3 linked regions of the Arabidopsis thaliana genome follow. The protein of the gene in region 1 interacts with the protein of each later gene in a biochemical or structural test. Each region holds a gene or a part of one and is shown in the gene's direction. Other genes may lie near its edges.

Evidence for each region. Proteins that work in one complex are often made in the same cells at the same time.
Region 2: the proteins of HOS1 (region 1) and HDA15 form a complex in vitro, tested with the Arabidopsis thaliana proteins (one study listed by BioGRID).
Region 3: the proteins of HOS1 (region 1) and FVE form a complex in vitro, tested with the Arabidopsis thaliana proteins (one study listed by BioGRID).

The regions. Positions count from the first base shown.
Region 1 is NC_003071.7:16,610,961-16,618,635, forward strand, and holds HOS1 (ubiquitin-protein ligase), read left to right. Parts: upstream 1-1,816; 5' UTR 1,817-1,980; coding exon 1,981-2,070; intron 2,071-2,206; coding exon 2,207-2,597; intron 2,598-2,882; coding exon 2,883-3,017; intron 3,018-3,107; coding exon 3,108-3,283; intron 3,284-3,771; coding exon 3,772-4,173; intron 4,174-4,291; coding exon 4,292-4,450; intron 4,451-4,554; coding exon 4,555-5,046; intron 5,047-5,464; coding exon 5,465-5,602; intron 5,603-5,816; coding exon 5,817-6,454; intron 6,455-6,679; coding exon 6,680-6,842; 3' UTR 6,843-7,162; downstream 7,163-7,675. Other genes in the region: AT2G39805 (Integral membrane Yip1 family protein), read right to left, coding at 273-441, 629-709, 809-866, 1,340-1,393; eIF6B (Translation initiation factor IF6), read left to right, coding at 7,499-7,508, 7,604-7,675. UniProt on the Arabidopsis thaliana protein: E3 ubiquitin-protein ligase that mediates ubiquitination and subsequent proteasomal degradation of the transcription factor ICE1. Acts as a negative regulator of cold signaling pathways.
Region 2 is NC_003074.8:6,359,567-6,366,131, forward strand, and holds HDA15 (histone deacetylase 15), read left to right. Parts: upstream 1-1,609; 5' UTR 1,610-1,728; intron 1,729-1,986; 5' UTR 1,987-2,038; coding exon 2,039-2,173; intron 2,174-2,267; coding exon 2,268-2,453; intron 2,454-2,580; coding exon 2,581-2,683; intron 2,684-2,799; coding exon 2,800-2,864; intron 2,865-3,003; coding exon 3,004-3,079; intron 3,080-3,398; coding exon 3,399-3,463; intron 3,464-3,565; coding exon 3,566-3,621; intron 3,622-3,785; coding exon 3,786-3,909; intron 3,910-4,019; coding exon 4,020-4,145; intron 4,146-4,261; coding exon 4,262-4,312; intron 4,313-4,425; coding exon 4,426-4,494; intron 4,495-4,712; coding exon 4,713-4,821; intron 4,822-4,964; coding exon 4,965-5,044; intron 5,045-5,146; coding exon 5,147-5,229; coding exon of another isoform or gene 5,230-5,257; exon of another isoform or gene 5,258-5,310; coding exon 5,311-5,356; exon of another isoform or gene 5,357-5,437; coding exon 5,438-5,616; coding exon of another isoform or gene 5,617-5,620; exon of another isoform or gene 5,621-5,691; coding exon 5,692-5,833; 3' UTR 5,834-6,049; and 1 more. Other genes in the region: RTFL20 (ROTUNDIFOLIA like 20), read left to right, coding at 569-730. UniProt on the Arabidopsis thaliana protein: Responsible for the deacetylation of lysine residues on the N-terminal part of the core histones (H2A, H2B, H3 and H4).
Region 3 is NC_003071.7:8,454,058-8,460,158, forward strand, and holds FVE (Transducin family protein / WD-40 repeat family protein), read left to right. Parts: upstream 1-1,698; 5' UTR 1,699-1,948; coding exon 1,949-2,232; intron 2,233-2,587; coding exon 2,588-2,651; intron 2,652-2,744; coding exon 2,745-2,831; intron 2,832-2,940; coding exon 2,941-3,003; intron 3,004-3,176; coding exon 3,177-3,242; intron 3,243-3,386; coding exon 3,387-3,461; intron 3,462-3,598; coding exon 3,599-3,674; intron 3,675-3,747; coding exon 3,748-3,943; intron 3,944-4,053; coding exon 4,054-4,135; intron 4,136-4,215; coding exon 4,216-4,289; intron 4,290-4,363; coding exon 4,364-4,475; intron 4,476-4,560; coding exon 4,561-4,635; intron 4,636-4,739; coding exon 4,740-4,807; intron 4,808-4,891; coding exon 4,892-4,991; intron 4,992-5,076; coding exon 5,077-5,178; 3' UTR 5,179-5,585; downstream 5,586-6,101. UniProt on the Arabidopsis thaliana protein: Core histone-binding subunit that may target chromatin assembly factors, chromatin remodeling factors and histone deacetylases to their histone substrates in a manner that is regulated by nucleosomal DNA.

The DNA.
Region 1 (7,675 bases):
AGCCAATCTTTAGAGGATAACATATTATGATGCTTTCTGTTCATTTGTCCAAGAGAAAATGAGGATATTTTAATCAATCGCCTGAAGTAACATAGGAGTAAATGAATAGCAAGATCATGCTTTCGGAAAGGTGCAGAAGATAACACTTAGAACGGTAACAAATTAACGGCATGACTGAGCAATGGACCGATTAAAGAAATTCGAAAGAACTCTCTCATGGTAAGTACAATCACCAAGAAGAGTGAAGGAGAAAAAGGCATTAAAAGACTTACAAATCAGGGTTTGCATCAATCTTGTTGAAAAAATCTCCACTAGTAGGATATAAAGAGCTCATTAATCTGTTCAAAACAACGTCCGTGTCCACGTCGAAGTATTGGGTATATGAGTAGACATTAAAAAAGCCCTTCCAGTTGTTTGATGGCTGTTGTGCTGGTCCTTCTACTGGAGCAGATAAGATATATCACCATATAAGACAGAACAAGGTGAAAACAAAGGTATATAGGATCTTGACATCCATAAGAAAAACGAGGTTGACTCACACAAGTATTCTTTCAACCATTGTACTGATTCATGGTGACTACAGATAAAAATATCTCCTAAAAAAGGAATCTAAAAGGAGCATATATACCTGTTGGGCTCTCAAGAGTTTGATAACCCTTTGTATTGTTTCCTAGATTCGGTGGAAATATTTGCATGCTTGCAGAAGGGCCTGCAATAATGCAGAAGACATACAACACTCAATGTCTTTCACTACCGGAAAAGTTCTTTGCAAAAGATAATTCAAGCAGAAACTAGCAAAAGAACACACCTTCATTGACGCTTGCTATTGGTACATTTGTGCTTCTCTTGTCGTCGCTGATCACAGCCTAAGAATACAGATGTTTGTATCAGACATAATAACACGGGGATAGTCAATCCATTCACTCAAAACATTTATCTTAGCGGATTCAATCCAAAATGAAGCTATCATGCAAGCATTTAAACTCAAATACAGTTTTGTTTTTCATACGAATTGTCTCCTAAAATGGTGAAAAAACTTAAATAAAACGCCTTAACAAATATAGAAACCCAGAAATGCAAATAAGGAAATCGTCCATTGTTCTATGAGTGTGAAGACTTTAGGCATCATCGTGGACGCGAAAAAATATGACAAAAAAATCTGAAAAGTTTCAAAATTCTACTTCCTAATGTAACACTTGAGACAGAACAACAAACAAAATGATGGCATGAACAAAAAACGTTAATTTTCCCTTCACACAAACAAGGATCATAGAAAAACTCAATCAAAGAGCTTATTGATGGTGAAATGAAAGAAGCAATAGATGTAATATAGACTTACCGGAACTGAACCAAGCAAATGGCTTGATTGTAGATTAGCGAACGACTCATCCATCGATCAAAGAGAAAAAGATATCAAAGAAAAACTTAGAAGATAGGTTCTTCTAATCTCATTCAAAAATCGATAAGATCGGAAAAAAGGTCGTCCCTTTTTCTGAATTTTTAAGGTTTCTGGGTTTGCTTCTCCTCCTCCGTCGTCGTGGAAGCAATTGGGAAAGGAAGAGAAACTAAAGAAAGAACGATCCACGCGCTTTCTTAGCAAGTCGGTAAAACACGCGCTGTTCACTTTCGGACACGTGATTTGCCGACTTGGGCCCAGACAATCACAAGATTCACACAAGACTTCAAAAACAAAGGCCCATATTTAAATTTTGACCCGAATCGTGATTTGCCGACTTGGGCCCAGACAATCACAAGATTCACACAAGACTTCAAAAAGAAAGGCCCATATTTAAAATTTGACCCGAATTAAACAATCCGACTTGACCCGTTTGAGGAGAAATTCACTCAACAGTGTTTCCTCTCTTCGTCTTCCCTCCCGAGAAAGCTCAACGGAGCCCTAGACTGGTTTTATCACTCTCGCCAACACCAACCACGCTTTTTCTCTCTTTACCTCCATTTTTGTATTCGTCACCGGAGTAGATGGATACGAGAGAAATCAACGGTTTTGCCTCCGCCGCGAGATCGATATCTCTTCCTACGCAGCCTAATTACAGTAGCAAGCCTGTTCAGGTTCTTCCGCTTTATACCTTTTTATTTCTCCACTGAATTAGTTTAGCTCAGGTCTTAGGATTTCTAGGTTCAGCTTAAAAAAATGGGTTTTGCAGAGCTTAGAGTTAATTTCGAATTTATTGTTTGTAACTTACAGGAGGCGTTGAAACATTTGGCATCTATAAACCTCAGAGAATTATGTAATGAGGCAAAAGTTGAGCGATGTCGTGCAACAAGAGACTTAGCTAGCTGTGGAAGATTTGTGAACTATGTGTTGAATCCATGTGGTCATGCCTCCTTGTGCACAGAGTGTTGTCAGAGGTGTGATGTTTGTCCTATCTGTAGAAGTACGCTACCAAAATTTGGAGATAGACTTAGGCTTCGTCTCTATTATGAGTGTGTTGAAGCTGGTTTGATTTCCCGAACACATGAAGAGGCGTCACAGGATTCGGATGAGGATGAACATCAATTGGCAGCTGATGTTCATCGCCTTTATTCTCTGTTTGATGTTGCTATGAACAATAATTTGATCTCGGTGGTTTGCCATTGTATCCTTCAGTTGCATTTATGCTTGGTGTCTGATATATGCATTTAGTCTTTTAGTTTCCTGTTTGATACTTTCATGAATTTCTTTTAGATTCGTATGCTTGTGCTATTAGGAACTGTGTTTATATGGGGAGTTTTGTACTGATAGGTTCATGTATTTTTAGGTAGTTCTTGTTTCATGCTTGTCTCTGTTGGGCGAAATGTGCATAGTGTTTTTGTCATTCATTCTCTAAGAGGTATTTTATGTTGGATGCATAGTTGACATCTCCTTGACAGAAAATTAATAGATATCACCAATGTCTGTATGGATGAGACAGCTGTATCTAGTGATCCGGTCATTGCTTTCTTGCTGGATGAAGTTGTTGTCAAGGATTGGGTCAAGCGTACATTCCGGAGCACCTTAGCTGAACTTCAAGAAATCTGTATCCTTTTAGCTGTTAATATTTTTATGTTTCTTAAGACTGTATATTTGTGCACCGTAAGGTCTGTCTATCTTTAATATTGGCCCTCAGATAATCTTGAAACAAAAGAGATGCAAGCGTGGTTAGATAAACTCCTAAGGTGTTCCAAACAGGTGGCTGGCATATGTAGTGTGCTCGAAGTTATGGAATCAGCTTTTAAGGGTTCTGTGTCACCTCAGCTTCAAGATGTGCAGACGCTGAGAGAGAACATTGGTAAAACAAAGCAGGTCAGCCATGATTTCATTTCATTGATATCCAAACAGTTTTGCAAAAGTATGCTTAAATAACTCTCTTTATCCCCCTTAGAAATATCCGTTGTACATTGAAGTTTCCTACGTGCATTAATGTTTAGTTTGCCTCTGTCATAGAATGAGTTACTTGTTTTGTATACGGCTTGCAGTAAAGTTTGTACTGTAAAAGCTTTGCATTTAGATGTATGAAAGGCACGATAATGGTCTTCCATCATCAGCTTGGATCTGATTTTCTATCCCTAGCTTTGTGACTTTATTCTTCTTTTCTTTTTTAATGTCATTGCATATTAGTGAATGTAGATGGGGTATATGTAACCTATCTTTATATGACATACTGAATAGTAAATGAGTATAACCTTATGGCTTCTGACCAGAGAGTGTTTTAAATAGATCAGCTCTTTAGCTATTGGTGCAAGATCACTGAGCTTACGTGTGCTTACCCTATTCTTTTTATTTTATTTCAGCATTTGGACATAATGGTCTGGTGCATCAGACATGGATTTCTGGATGATGTGAGGTCTCGATATTCGAATTTCACATCGTGGAATGCACTGGTAGGGGAAAGAAAATCAAATGCAGTTAAGCGTGCATGGCCTGATGCTGTAGACCAGTCTTCAGATTGCAGTGTACAGAGTGCTTCCCTCTTTATTGAGGATGCTTTAGAAAATCTTGAGAGAGAGCCAGAATACAGTCAGGAAATAGGTGCCGACCTAGAAGTTGGACGTTTACAGAAGGATAAGAGATCATTTCTTAGGTCCAAAATAGAGGGAACTTCAGGATCTTATCCATTTGAGAATCTTAGAACTGCTGCTGACATGCTCTTTTTACATGGCGGTTCAGATTTGGTTGTTGCGAAGCAAGCAATTGTATCCTTTTGTCATCGCCTAGTTTCACATTACATTGCACTTTACTTTTAATGAATACTTGAATCAGGAAACATTCCCATGTTTTTCCTTTACGCTGGTTTCCTTAACCAGAAGATAGTTTCTTTACTACCTGTTTGATCGGCATTGGACTACCCCTGAAAAATATTGGAAGCACACTATAGATGATTTTGCTGCTACGTTTGGCATAACGAGGCATTCATTGCTGGAGTCTTTTGTATTTTATCTTCTCGATGATCACTCAGAGGAGGCACTCCAGGTATCTTTTGGCATTCCCAAGGAAAACTTATAGAAACGTGTATTTTATTGTGCCATACATTTATTAATTGGTGTAGCTTACAAACTTTCCAAATTATATTTCAGGAAGCTTGTAGGATTCTACCTGAAATATGCGGTCCAGAAACCTACCCCAAAGTTGCGCAAGTCCTGTTAGAAAGGGATAACCCTGAAACAGCTCTTATGGTCTTGCGTTGGTCTGGTCGTGATGGTGTATCAGAATTGGTTTCAATTGGTGAAGCTGTCACAGCTCTTCGTGTGAGAGTGGAATGTGGTCTTTTGAGTGAAGCATTCACATACCAAAGGACACTCTGCTTGAAAGTAAAGGAAAATAATTTGAAAAATGGAGCTGTGAAACATGCGTCTGATGATCTAGACATCTGGAGTTGGACGGAATGGATGGAGATACTTGTCAATGAATTCTGCTGTCTTTCTATTCGGAGAAACTTGGTTGATCGAATCATTGAGTTACCGTGGAACCCAGATGAGGAGAAATATCTGCACAGATGCTTATTAGATTCGGCAACTGATGACCCCTCATCAGCTGTGGGTAGTCTCTTGGTTGTCTTTTATCTTCAGGTAAGTAATTATATTTTCAAACTTTAAATAACTTCACTTGAACAATGGGCTGAGAATTGTTTTTCAGAACGAGAATAGCTTTAGCAACAGGCAAATAGATATTTAGACAGCAGCTTAAACCTCCCGAGCTTTAAGCTACATATTGAAAATTTTAATAAGGGATCTCAATGATGGCTCTGTATAGAATTAGCTCATTCTATAGAGACTGGTATATGTTCTCGTATTTGATGTGTGGCTTCAACAATCTTTTATAATTCGAGCTTGGTGTAGTCTGGGATGTTGGTTAACAAGCATGAAATTATTTGAACAACCAGGGAAACTGCATCACTATAGACCATGCTTATTTTCTGGAAAGTTATTATCTTTTGTATATGGTCTTTCTTTGACTAGAAATTACTGGTTGTTCACATTGCTGCAGCGCTACCGTTACATCCAGGCATACCAAGTCGATCTTAGGCTTCAGAAAATCGAAGAGGCTTTCGTATCCGACAATCAAATTGGGGAAGAAGTTATGTTCAGAATGCGATCACAGAGTCATTGGAGAAAAGAGTTAGTTGTAAGTATTTCAGCCAACTTTCCATGTACAAGTGGATCCTTCCATAGTTCCTTGTTAAAGGCTACATCCTCACATTTGCGTTTTAGTGCTTAATAACCTGTTGATGCTTGCAGGATTGTCTAGTATTCTGAAACTTGAATGTACAATATTACTTGATACTGGCTTTTTTTAACTGGACATTTAAACCTCCCGTGTCTCTGCTCCTTTGAAACAGGATAGAGCCATAGATATACTTCCAGTAATTCAGCAGCAGCAAGTTAGATCTGGACAATTTTCTGAGATGGAAGATGCCTCTGAAGGAGCAAAAAAATCTGATCTTCCTGATGCACCTGACATGATTACTTCTTCAGTTCCCTTTGCCACTACTAATTCCGTTTTTCTCCAAAGTGCTAACAATGCCAGAGCTAGAGAGCCAGTGGCTAATAATGGCAGTCCTTTTCAACCTGGTCATATGATAGGAAACGCGTCCCATGATCTTTCACATGGAAGGTTATTTACAAACGCAAATAGAGGACAAAAGAGTGAAGTTAGAAGCGTAACCAAGAATCTGAAATTCGGTGAAATGTCAACTCCGTTCAAAGATCTAAATAGAGCTCGTGGGAACAGCCAGCTCCAAGGGAAAAGGACTGAAGAATCCTCTCCAGAAGTAAATGTTGATAGATACATAGAGAATAATATGAGCTCTCCTTATCTCCGCCGAATCACAGCTAACAATCCCGTGACAGTGAAATCTAGCAGCAACCATCTCAATGGATCTTCACAGAAACCGGAATCCACCTTTTTTGGCACAAGGATGCAACCAGACAAAGATAACTTTGTTGATTTGGATGATCCAATGGACATGTCTTCGAGGTATTCCTCTCTTCTTTATCTCTTAGCCATTTGTTCCTTTCTGAATCGTGCCATTAAAGTAGAGGACACTGGTATTGTTTGGTATAAAACTATTGTTACCGTTTGGTTTGAAAATAAAGTCCAGTTTGGTTTCAGTCTAAGGAACTTTGTTTGGTTCTTATGTCCACGGCTTTTAGTCTTATATTGGATGAGCTACATATCAATTGTGTGTATTATGAATTGCAGCTTAAAGGACAACAACAACAATGTCTTGGCCACGGAGAGCAGAAATAACAGTGGTGGATTGAGATGGCGGTCAGATGAAACAAGCGATGACGAAGATGAACTGACTAGTTTTGGTTCCATGCCGGTGAAGGGAAGGAGGAGACGTAGATTCGCAGCAAGATGAAATGAAACAAACACTCGAAAAGACCATCATCAATTATGTTTAAAGCATAGAGAAAGAGAGAGAGAGGTAGAGCAAGTTGTGTAAAGAGGGGAGAGAGACTGTTACAGTGAGCGTTGTTCTCCTGTTATTTTTTGTGCTGAATTTTGTGTATTTCTTCTCTAGTCTACCTTTTTTGGACAGTTATTTTAAAGATATCATTGTGATGAGCGGAGTGATATTATTATTATGAGTATGTTTAATTTCTTATATTGGTGCAGCTGATTGTTGAATCGTAGAAGTTATAACAACACATTGAGATTAAATCATTTTCTTTTTACATTCACAATTTCCTCTCAAAATTTTAATTTTTAACTTTTTTATTATTTACCAAAACTAATAAATGGAAATAAGTAGCATAAGCTTGTTCCAAGTTTCTGATATATAAATAGGGTTTTCGGAAGAGAGAATAGGGTCTCTTCCTATCGTTCCGTCACTTTTTGTTCCGATTTGTCGACAAGGTAAACCTTAAAACTAAATCTTTCAATATAGCATAACCAATGATCCGAAAACCTAAATCTTTCATTCTCTGTTTCTGCCTTGGATCTGTATTGAAATTCATAATCTCATATTAGGTTTTCGTGTTACTTAATTCCGCAGGTGTTTGTTGGATCCATATCATGGCGACTCGTGAGTTTCCCTTAAGCTTTAGCTTTTTATACGATGCTTTCTTTTCAAGTTGCTTACAGGATTGTTCTTTTTTTTTCTGTTCTTGTTTTTGGCAGGTCTTCAATATGATAACAATAATTGCGAAATTGGTGTCTTTTCCAAACTCACAAATGCTTATTGTCTCGTTT
Region 2 (6,565 bases), on another chromosome or scaffold:
CGTGCATTTCTCTAAAGGCAAGGCATATAACACTTAGTTTCGTGATTTTTTATAGTCATGCAGAAGTTTTTAAACATGTATTTCAAAACAAACCCGAAAGCTCCTTGGAATTTGCATTTTATGTATTTATTTAGCAGTTAACCATAACGTTAGTTTGCATGTTCAATTTAAATTCAAAGAAATTAAGATGAGATATGGACGGTCTGCAATACCGTATGTTCTAACATAATATTCCAATAATCAAAGTGAATAAATCAATCTCTACCGATGATGAATCTTTGAACTGAAAGGAGACAAGAAAACAATACATCAAATATTTTCAACCATAATGGGAAGCTAGTCGGTCACACTTCACAAAGTGGCCTTTATTTTTGGGTTGTTTCGTTGAAGGGTCCCGAATCAATGGTAGGGAATACTTTCTCCTTATCTCTTTCTCTCTCACTCCAATATATATAATATGATGAATCTTCACTTCCATTTAAACATCACACAATCATCACACAATCACCCTGAATCCCTGATAATAAGGAAAAACAAAAAAGTTTGTTTTATAAACACACTTTAAACAATGAGGGAGAAGTACACAAAGGAGGAAGCAGTGAAGAATTGGGAGAAGAAGAAGAACAAGCCTTCTTCACCAAAAGGAGTTGGAGAGTTTCTGAAAAAGAAGAAAGGAAGGTTCTACATTATTGGAAAATGTATTACTATGCTTCTTTGTTCACACAAGTGATAGTCAACACACATTTTTTCATACATATTTATGTTATCATGTATAGGTATAGATGATGATAGAGGTATAAAAAGGAGAGAGAGCTCAACATATTTACATCTTTAACATTTCGGTGTTCATCTCTCATTTTATGTGGGTGTGTTCTTGTTGTCGTCGTCGTTGTTATATATGGAAATATATCACTCAATATTCTTCTTGTGAACTATATATATAACGGAATACTATCTCCCATAGTCCCATGTTTGTAGAATTAATATTAATGTATGAATAATAAATTCTTAGAGAAAAGACAAAGACGATGCTTTTGAGTACTATATGGAGATGCATGCACACAAACATGTATTATATAACAAAGAAATTGGATTCAGTACTTACAGTTAGAATTAGGTTAAGGTAAAAGAAAAAGGTAAGGGAAACAAATATCAGTCTCACATGTGTTAATGCGCTTGGGCGTATTTTGATTATGTTAGCTGGTCATTATCAGTTAGTTTAACCATTAGTCATTCTACAATCTGTAGTGTGACGTTTAATTACCTGATGATTCAAACATTTTTCACTATAAATATTATGAAGTTATCAGTTAGGTTATTTACCAAACAAAAATTCAATGACATAACAACTAAAGTCTCATTCCCTTTAAAAAATGGTAACTTTTGTAATCCATTTCGAGAAGACAACAAACCTAAATTGGCTTTGTGAAGTAAGATTCAGTCGTACTTTGCTCTTTCAATACTTGAACATTAATGAAAAATTCCAAGCAAAAGGAAATAAAAATAAATAGTTTGACTCAAATTTGGTAATGGGCTTATAGTGTTATTGGGTCTTCATCTTCAGCCCAAATAATCTTTTACTCTTTCAAGTCTGAACGTCGTCATCTTCGTTGTCGCCGTCGTCGTTTCTCTCATTTCTGCTCTGTTGTGCTATCGTAGCGTCGCGCTCCTTTAAACGCGACGGACGCAGCCTTCTCTGTTCATCGTTTCGCCGGAAGTTTTCTTCAGGTATGATATTTTGAGACCGTCGTTGATATTTTTATTCAGTTTCCATAGAGAAAAAAAAACAATTCCTGAGTTCTGGATCGAGGATCGATTTCGATAATACTCGAAGAAAAGTTGGGTTCTTCGTAAAGTTATTTGTTGTAGCTGTGTGTGGAGTTCTTTACATTTTCTTCGATTTTGATTTTAGCTCTTCGTATATGAAACTTTTTGATTTTTAAAATTTCTCAAATTGGGTTTTTCTTTGTTTCTCTTTTGGCACAGCGGAGATTTATTTTCAGCTGGTTAGTAGTTTTGAGTGACTACTGAGGTAACAATGGTTGTAGAAACTATCGAGAGGTCTTGTGAGGGTTCAAAGAGAAGACATGTGAACGGTGGAGATATCGCTGTTCCTTGTTCGGGAGAAGAGTGTAGCAATGGAGATATAAATGTAGCTCCTGGAGTTTCAGCGGTAAGCTAAAAACCATGGCTTCCTTTTAATGTATTGTCAGAGATTTGGTTGGTTCTGCTTTTGGTGATATTGGTCATTGTTGTGTCTTATGCAGAAAAGAGCTAGGGTTTCTAGAGAAATGACGTTTGAAGATATTTACGGTGCTGATGCATTACTCAATGATGACGATGATGAGGATGATGATTGTGATTGGGAACCTGTGCAGGCGCCTATGGAGTTTGTAAAATGGTGTTGTGTCAATTGCACTATGTCGAACCCTGGTGATATGGTCCACTGTTGTGTACGTTTTTTATTTACTTTTTCTTGCTTGGCTACTACTTTTTATGATTTCAAAGTGACAAACGTACGTCTGAGCAATGCGCATTGGACATTGGTTATGTATTAGTAAAGTTGATTCCTTGACGTAGATATGCGGTGAGCACAAGGAATCTGGCATTTTGAGGCATGGATATTTAGCGTCTCCCTTTTTTAAAGACACTGGTCTCATTGAAGTCGAGGAGAAATATGGAGGTAGGAATTACTTCCCTTGCTTCCTCTGAAAATGTCTTTATAAATATTGTTAGTCTCAGTTCCATGCTATTTAAGTAACTGTAAGCATGTTCACTTTTCTTTTAACTTGATATTAGGAAGCTCATCTGCAACCAGCTCGACAGCTGTTGGGTTCGACGAGAGAATGTTGCTACACTCAGAAGTATGATCTTGTTACTGTTATGTGTTATGTTTTCCTGAGAAACCTCTAGTATCTGTTGACATCTCTACATTATCATCTCCAAAGCTTTTCTTCGTGCAAGTTTTTCTATTTAATATGTGCTGATGGCATGCTTAAAAAGTTTGAAGTGAAGGCACAACCACATCCAGAGAGACCTGATCGTCTTCGAGCTATAGCTGCTAGTCTTGCCACAGCTGGTATGTTGCGTTTACTTCCTTTAAACCTAGCCTCTCTTGAGAAGAAGACTAATGTTTGGAAGCTGATTATTATTAAGATTTGGAGATCATTATATAGATCTCTTGCAGCCGAGGTAAGTTAAAACTAAAAAGGAAAATAATAAAATTCTAATTCTAAAAGGAAAAGATCAGAACATAACTTCTTCAATTAAGAAGCTTCTAGCGTCCTTGTCTACCTTCTCTGAGACTTGATCCCATATATCATATCATGTGTTTCATTTTACAGTATCATACTGTTGGGAGTAATTTTGGTACTCACCACGTTTGAATTTTTTTGCAGGTGTTTTTCCTGGAAGATGCTTGCCTATCAATGCAAGGGAAATCACGAAACAAGAACTCCAGATGGTGAGCTGCTACATAACTGTCTTAGAGACAATTCTAATATTATGTTCATTGCAGTACTTTTACAAGCAATTTCATAACTGGTTTGTATATGTCAATTTTGAGGTCCACACTTCAGAGCATGTTGATGCTGTTGATACTACAAGCCAGCTTCTCTATAGGTTTGAATTTTAAACCATTTGTTACTTTTTTTTTTGCGTTCACCGTGCATATCCTTGCTTGTTAATCTGACTGTTCAAACTTGAATTGAAATTTCCTTTACCTTCGCTGCTCCTCATTTATCTCTTTTTGCTCTTGATCCCGTTCTTTTACCATTGTCTGGCAGCTACTTCACCTCTGACACATATGCTAATGAGTATTCAGCACGTGCTGCTAGACTTGCAGCAGGTTTGTGCGCTGATCTAGCTACAGATATTTTCACTGGCCGTGTAAAAAATGGTTTTGCTTTGGTATGTCTAATTCACCAAAATTTTTAAATTTAAAGATGCAACTACACAATTGCTTTAAATTGAAATTACACCATATTAGTTTGAAAAAAAAAAATCTCTGATTGTATCAGGTTAGACCTCCCGGTCATCATGCTGGCGTCAGGCATGCTATGGGGTTTTGCCTTCACAATAATGCAGCCGTTGCTGCATTAGTAGCACAAGCAGCAGGGGCAAAGAAGGTGCTGATTGTGGACTGGGTAATGTTACTGATAACTCTAAACTGGGTGATTTTGTAGATCTTCAAACTTTTTTAATTCGTTGTACTCTGCATTGTGTGGTTTGGCTCATATCAATGTTATATCTACCGTTGCAGGATGTCCATCATGGCAACGGAACCCAAGAGATATTCGAACAAAACAAATCTGTAAGCTGCCCAAATCTATGCATGTCTGCACATCAATTTTGGAGTGTTGGATGCAGTAAATTATTTTTGTGAGTTGACCTTGTTTGAACTTATTACTGGGAGTCATTGCATAGGTATTGTACATATCCTTGCACAGACATGAGGGAGGAAACTTCTATCCCGGTACTGGAGCTGCTGATGAGGTACCTATGCTTTTCTGTTTTACATTGTCTCATCCAGCATTCATGAGTAGATTTAGTTGTTGGTATATATATGCATATACCTTATTTGTGTGTTTGGTTTGCATTATGATTTATGTCTTAAATTTTGGGATTATTTTCTAATTTCTGCCTTGTTTCCAAAATTTGAATTTTCTCTAGGCGGCAGAACAATAGTTTGCTAATGTTAATTATGGGTGCAGGTTGGTTCTAATGGTGGGGAAGGTTATTGTGTAAATGTTCCATGGAGTTGCGGTGGAGTTGGGGATAAAGACTATATCTTTGCGTTTCAACATGTGGTTCTCCCCATAGGTACAGAGTCGTTCTACTTTTCCCCATTTGATAAACGTTTTGGCTTAATTGATGACTAATATGCTCAGGAAGTGGACCAAATACATTTAGCTCACTTTTGAATGTGCACTCAGTCTAATTTTAACTGGAACCTTCTCTTGCAGCTTCTGCATTTTCTCCAGATTTTGTCATCATATCTGCGGGATTTGATGCGGCTAGAGGAGACCCACTAGGATGCTGTGATGTAAGCTTCATATTCGAGCTGTAATTTACCACTTCTGGAATCAGTGTATTGTTTTGTGGATATCAACAGAGGATAGATGTTCTGTTCTACTCCTTTTTTCAGGTGACTCCGGCTGGCTATTCTCGAATGACACAGATGTTGGGTGATCTGTGTGGTGGGAAAATGCTAGTTATTCTCGAGGGCGGGTATGTGTTTTGCAGTTTTTTGGAGTAGCCTCTTGGTTTGTAAGGAGCAGCTTTTGAATAATCTCCTGTTTTCATTTGCAGCTACAATCTTCGCTCCATATCTGCTTCTGCAACAGCAGTGATCAAGGTTAGTCTCTATTTCAAACTTGATATCCTTTAAAATCTGCATATAGTTATGGAGATTCATGATCCCGCTTAATCTATAAAGGTGCTTCTGGGTGAAAATCCGGAGAACGAGTTGCCCATCGCCACCACGCCTTCAGTAGCCGGCCTGCAAACTGTTCTTGATGTACTGAATATCCAACTGGAGTTCTGGCCATCACTTGCTATCAGCTACTCCAAATTACTCTCAGAGTTGGAAGCACGTCTGATCGAAAACAAAAGTGAGTGATGCTTCCCAAAAAAAAAACTATTTCATTCTTCATCCTTCTTTCTCCTAATAAAATCTCACTGGTTTTACAGAAAATCAGATGAAAAGGAAGGTTGTTCGGGTTCCGACATGGTGGAAATGGGGACGAAAGAAGCTTTTGTACAACTTTCTCTCGGCTCGTATGATTTCAAGATCAAAGTGATTTTAGAAAGCATTCTTCCTAATCCGTCGTAGGAATTGTCTACACTTACTTGTAACCCTAACTGATCTGGGGGAATTTATTGCAATTAGGGAGCTCTGAACAATCTTTATCACTTACATTTGGTAGGGTTTTATAGAAAGAACCCTTTTAACCTGCTTACCAACCATCCTCATCAGACCTCTTAAGCTAGGCAATCGGTTTGGATAAACGAATTCCTACTTTAACCAAATTTATAGTTCGGTTTGGTTTATCTTAAAATTATTGATGTCGAACCAAACCAAAAACAAATTTCTTGTTCATTTCTCGGTGTCCAAAATCCTCATTTTCCAATAATTCCGGTATATTCTTTTTGGTTTTGGTATATTTCAATCAATTTCAGTATATTTGACACAGTTTGATACGGCTAGGAAATTTGATTTACAAAAAAGAAAAAAGTAGAAGAATTTAAGAATATTTAGAAATTTATGAAAAACTAAAAGAGCTTCTAAATACGGATATGTTCAATCTTCCAAAACCAAACAAAACAGTTTTGTCGGTATTTTGAACCAAATCTAATTACCAAAATTTTGGCACTGTTCGGCTAAGAATATTAGTCCAGCTCTATTAAATAAGAACTTTCGAATAATCGCTTCGATTCAGATTAATTCTTTCTGATTTTAGGTAGATAGAGGGGCTATCGGTTAATTTCGATTATGAACTAGCTGAATTTTTGTAAATCAACCACATTTTATTTAATCATATGTTTGTTTTCTAAGAGAATTTGA
Region 3 (6,101 bases), 8.2 Mb from region 1:
TGATTAAAAATCATGTTTGCCTTACATGCATAATATCTTAAATGCTTGTATCACATGTCTCTAACTACCACGAAAAACTTTGTGTATAAAAAATTCAAATCTTTAATTTTTGGACGACAAATTCATTAGCGTTACTAATTTCATTGTACCTATCAGTTTTATGACGATAATAATACAATTTATTTCGTCCCAAAAAAAATAATATTTATTTATTAAGTTAATAGGAAAATAGGTGTAAATATACAAATATGTATATGTAATATGCAATTAGAGAATATATGAAACACCACTATACTATCAACATTAATATTAGTAAGATGAGAAACATAAATTAGATGATTTGAGTCAATATTTTTCCCTAGTAATCTTAGTAATAGTTTTTTTTTTCTTTTATTTGCATAGTTCATATACATATTTGTATACATATATGTTGTGCAGATCTAAAATTTTTGTTTAATACCTATTTTGCACCTCTACCAAATAAATTGTGTTAGAATTTTAAAAAATTCATAATCACAACAAAATTTCTAACACTATTTAATTTGTTGATCATAAAAAATCTGAATTTTTATGCACAAAACGTTTCTTAATAGTCAAAACTAGTGATATAAGAAGTGCAATGCCAAGAATTATAGAGATTTGAAGCGAAATTTTAAAATGACATGATTATACATAACTTTTAAGTTCTAAACTATAATCATAATAAAAAAAATTAAGATATTAAATAGAGCGAACAGACGTTTAGGTTTTTTTCGGATTTACCATATTCATCAGATTAATCCATGCTGGATTGAGAAAAAGCCTCAAGCTTGGAACAACTACATGTAAATCATAACCTCGAGATATTTTAAGGCTTTCAATGTCCCAAAGAAAGTTATTTGGTGTCGAATCCATGAGTGAAAATTGAGCTTTTCACATAGAACAAAGAGGGATATGAAATAGTACAATTTTATGTTTTAAATAAAGAAGATAAAATGAAAGGTAAATTTTATAGGTTTAGCCAGCAGAGAACAAATGAAATGAATGTTTTAAGTTTAGACACCAAGAACAAACTTAGGGTTCAAGTCTAAGCTTAGTCATATACTTCTGAACAATATTGGACTTTATTGTTCAAGTATTAAACAAACATTGAAATCTTCTTAAATCACTTTTCAAAATGCAACGAGGATCTATTCTTTTTTTTTTTTTCAGAAGAAGCTACAAGAAAGAACAACAAGTTTGGATATGAATTATAAAGTTAGTAATCCATGTAAGAGACGCTTATATTAATTAATTTATACTGTTAATTATTTCATCCGTAATTTTTATTATTATTCAATAAAGTATTTATTTTACTGAATTAAAAAATAATAATTATGGGTGTTTGGATATTCGGTCGGGTATTTTGGGTTTGAGTTTTTCGGGTTTAGAATTTTAAGATCCGTTCGAGTAATTCAAGATTCCGGGTCGGGTTTGGTTCGGTTTCGGGTTTAGTTATATATTGAAATATCAAAATTTTGTGTCCGAATCTATTAAATTATTTGAAAATTTCAAAAATTCCCTAAACAACCCGAGTAGTTTTGCTTGAATATATTTAAAAATACATAAAAGTAACTAAAATATCCGAAAAATCATAATATTGTCTATATGTAAATATAAATATAAATATTTTAGTTATATTTATATTTAAGATATGTTTGGGTACCAGTTCGGGTTCGGGTTTTTCAGGTTTTGAAGTTTAGATTCAGTCGGATATTTGAAAATTTCAGGTTCGAATTTAGATTGGGATTTTTGGATTGGGATTTTTGGATCGGGTTCAGATCGGTTTTTTCGGATTCAGGTATTATGTCCAAAGTAAAAATGGTAAACGGTGGTTGTTTTGTTTGTATTTGTAAAGCAGAAGAGAGAGAGATATAGAGACACTGAAAGCAAAGACCAAAAAAGAAAAATTAAAAAGAGAGAGAGGAAAATGGAGAGCGACGAAGCAGCAGCAGTGTCTCCTCAAGCAACGACACCGAGCGGAGGAACCGGAGCTTCTGGGCCGAAGAAGAGAGGTCGGAAACCTAAAACCAAGGAAGATTCTCAGACGCCGTCGTCTCAGCAACAGAGCGATGTTAAAATGAAAGAAAGTGGGAAGAAAACGCAGCAGTCGCCGAGTGTTGACGAGAAGTACTCTCAGTGGAAAGGTCTCGTCCCCATTCTCTACGACTGGCTCGCTAACCATAACCTCGTCTGGCCTTCACTCTCTTGCAGGTCTCCCCCTTTCTCCTTTCCTCTCCTTCTAGGGTTTCGTTTCGTAATCGTTTCTTAGCTTTGAACATTCTCATGTTTGGAATGAATTTAGTAAAATCTTACACATACATTTTCTCGATTTCTGGGTTTAAGTGAGATTGTTGCGATTGTTCTAGTTAGGGTTTTGGATGTGGCTCTGTCTTCATACCTTGATATATCTGATGTTCTATTCATGAATTGTTACTATTGATTACCTTGTTGGTTACTAATGACTAAGAGGAATTTTCAGTTTCTCTGAGTGTTTATATCTGATGAAGTCTTTAGTTGTTGTGCTAAGAGTTTCCATTTGGTGAATTGTTGTTTGATTTTTTTATAGATGGGGTCCGCAGCTTGAGCAAGCAACCTACAAGAATCGCCAGCGTCTGTACCTCTCAGAGCAAGTAAGTTTTTAGCTTTCTCTTGTATCTTGTTGTCTCATCTTCTTTATATACTTCTCATCGTATTATTTGTATTTTTCTTGGTTGTGTCACCAGACTGATGGAAGTGTGCCCAATACTTTGGTCATAGCAAATTGTGAAGTTGTTAAGCCAAGGGTTGCTGCAGCAGAGCACATTTCTCAGGTATTATGTGGTTTAATACTAAGCTTGTGTCCTTTCCATATCCTACTCCACACTACAATTGGTTTCATGTTTGACACTTATATACTATCTTCTGAAAATGTGTTCTCAGTTCAATGAAGAAGCACGTTCTCCATTTGTGAAGAAGTACAAGACCATCATTCACCCTGGAGAGGTGTGAATTCTGCCCACTCTTGAGATATTTCTGTATTGACATTGTTCTTTTTAGTTCTATTTGGTTTGTTAATTGTATCTGCATCCCTGTTTCATCTGTCCATGAAGTTATTCGTTTGGCACGTTGGTGAAAGTAAATTTTGATGTGTATTCATTACTAATTTGCAATTGCAGGTTAACAGAATCAGGGAACTCCCACAGAATAGTAAGATTGTTGCTACTCACACCGACAGTCCTGATGTGAGTGCTGCTTCTATTTTGTTATGGTCATAGCAACTTGAAATATGTCGGTTTCATATTTCTGTATTTGGCAGTCAAAGAGCATCCTTTGTTCGGACATATGTCCAGTTTCAGAGTTATCTAAATACAATATGTTGATTTCAGGTTCTCATTTGGGATGTTGAAACCCAACCAAACCGTCATGCTGTGCTTGGAGCTGCAAATTCCCGTCCAGATTTGGTATGTCCACTTCTGAGAATGTTGTTTTATGCTTTATTCTTGTTTGTTTCTCATCATTGGAAGTGATAAATCTCTTTGATATCTTCTTAAATAGTGCTTCTTGTTTGCATCATCTGAATGAACCATTTTTCATGCAGATACTAACTGGGCACCAAGATAATGCTGAATTTGCTCTTGCCATGTGCCCAACGGAACCCTTTGTGCTCTCCGGAGGTTTGTGTTTCTGTAATTTGTAGAGTCCAATCCTGTGGTTTGCCAGTTTCTCATACAAAAGTTCTTCTCTTAGGCAAGGACAAGTCAGTTGTTTTGTGGAGTATCCAAGATCACATCACAACGATTGGGACAGATTCCAAATCATCTGGATCTATCATCAAACAGACTGGTGAAGGTACTGATAAGAATGAGAGTCCTACTGTTGGCCCACGAGGTGTATATCATGGCCATGAAGATACAGTTGAAGATGTGGCATTCAGCCCGACGAGGTAACTTCTTAGAACAGACTCCTTCTATTGATATCGTGTTTGTTTATGCATACTGCAGATATTTTCATGATTTTCTAATAATACTTCTGGTGAACTTTTATACCGTGAAGTGCACAAGAATTCTGCAGTGTTGGTGATGATTCTTGCCTTATACTATGGGATGCGAGAACTGGCACAAACCCTGTCACGAAGGTACTCTATCTTTTGAATCCTATCAAAAGTTTGAAGATTTACCTCCTTTTGATATTATATCTTACTTTTTTGTTTTCCAGGTTGAAAAAGCGCATGATGCTGATCTTCATTGTGTTGATTGGAATCCTCATGACGACAATCTGATCCTGACAGGGTATGGAGAAATACATACAAATAGATGATTAATACATACTTAGTATCTAATTAAGAAATTGATGAATATTTCAGGTCAGCAGACAACACTGTCCGGTTGTTTGATCGTAGGAAGCTTACCGCTAATGGAGTTGGTTCGCCTATTTACAAATTTGAGGGACACAAAGCTGCTGTTCTTTGTGTTCAGGTATAATCAACTTTTTTTTTTTTTTTCCTTCTTTGTATGAAGTATATCTCTTAACCCACTGACACTATCTTGTTATTCAATTCAGTGGTCTCCTGATAAGTCATCCGTCTTTGGGAGCTCTGCAGAAGATGGTCTCTTGAACATCTGGGATTATGACAGGGTGTGTACATAGTTCACTCAGATGTCTAAAATTAATCTTTCTTCACTATCATCACTGAAACATATTCATTGTACTCATGTTTGGTTTGTTTAATTAACCATCAGGTCAGTAAGAAGTCTGATCGTGCAGCTAAAAGCCCCGCTGGGCTCTTCTTCCAGCATGCTGGTCACAGGTTCTTAAAGACTTATCTTGATTTTTCTTGATTGCTTTCTCATTTTACTTGCTTCTAAGTTCCCTTGTTTATAAACCATATTAGGGACAAAGTTGTTGATTTCCACTGGAATGCTTCAGACCCTTGGACTATTGTCAGTGTTTCTGATGACTGTGAGACTACTGGTGGAGGTGGAACATTGCAGGTAACCTTGAAATCTTTCTTGGTACCTTGATAAGCAATTTTATTGACATACCGTTAAATGTTGTTTATACTTTCTTCTATGGCAGATATGGCGGATGAGTGACTTGATTTACAGACCAGAAGAAGAAGTCGTGGCAGAATTGGAGAAGTTCAAGTCGCATGTTATGACTTGTGCCTCCAAGCCTTAAGAGTAAAGAAAACCCATTGTCTATCTATCTATCGCCTATGGTAAACTAATGCGGGTTTTAGCGAGGAGTCTTGGTTTTTGTAAGGCTGGTTTGTCTTTTGAGATATTGGTGGTAGCTTTTAGGACCTTTCCATATCAGTTAGGGGTACATGGTTCTGGTTCATGATCCTGTTTCATCAGACTCTTAGGTGCTGTTTTGTTCAACTGAGATGTTAATCAAATCGGACCAACTTTATGTGTTTTGGTTTAAGGTTTCAATACTTGGCCTGAACCTAATGATTCCTTCTCTGTAACTAGTCGAGACCAACCCGGCTACAAAAAAAATAGTTGCATTGATGTTCAAATGCAAAGCAGAAGGGGTCATTATAAAACAATATAGTAATAAGCATCGCAAAATTTGGAAACTGGGTTCTTGATGATTCGTCGCATCTTAAATAATGTTTGCATTGTCGTTTTCATTAGAAAAAAACTGTTAATCACGCTTAGCAGTAGGATTAGGTGATTTTCAATTCACAGATTTATTCGTAGGATTTTGAAGAAATTTTAAGTATTAACAGTCACTAAACAATCAGACCATTGCAAATCATACATAGATCACCTGGTCATTTCATAAAACTAAACTATATGATAATGTTTTACTTTATTGGGCTTAACGTTAATGGTCCTCCCGCTTAATAGGCTTTATGAAGTCTCTTGATGAGCTAGAGACTTTAAAAATCCAATCACAAAGCCTACATGAGACCGTCAAGATCAGTCAGAGAAGATCAAACGAAGAAGTTTTTGTTCCAAAAGATACTAAAGAGAGAAACATGAATCAATGTATTGCTTGAGGAATAAGGTAGGGAAGCTAATCAATCACAAGTAGACGAATCGGAGTATTTCATAAAATTAGGGTTTTTAGACCTACATTTTCTTTTCTTTTTC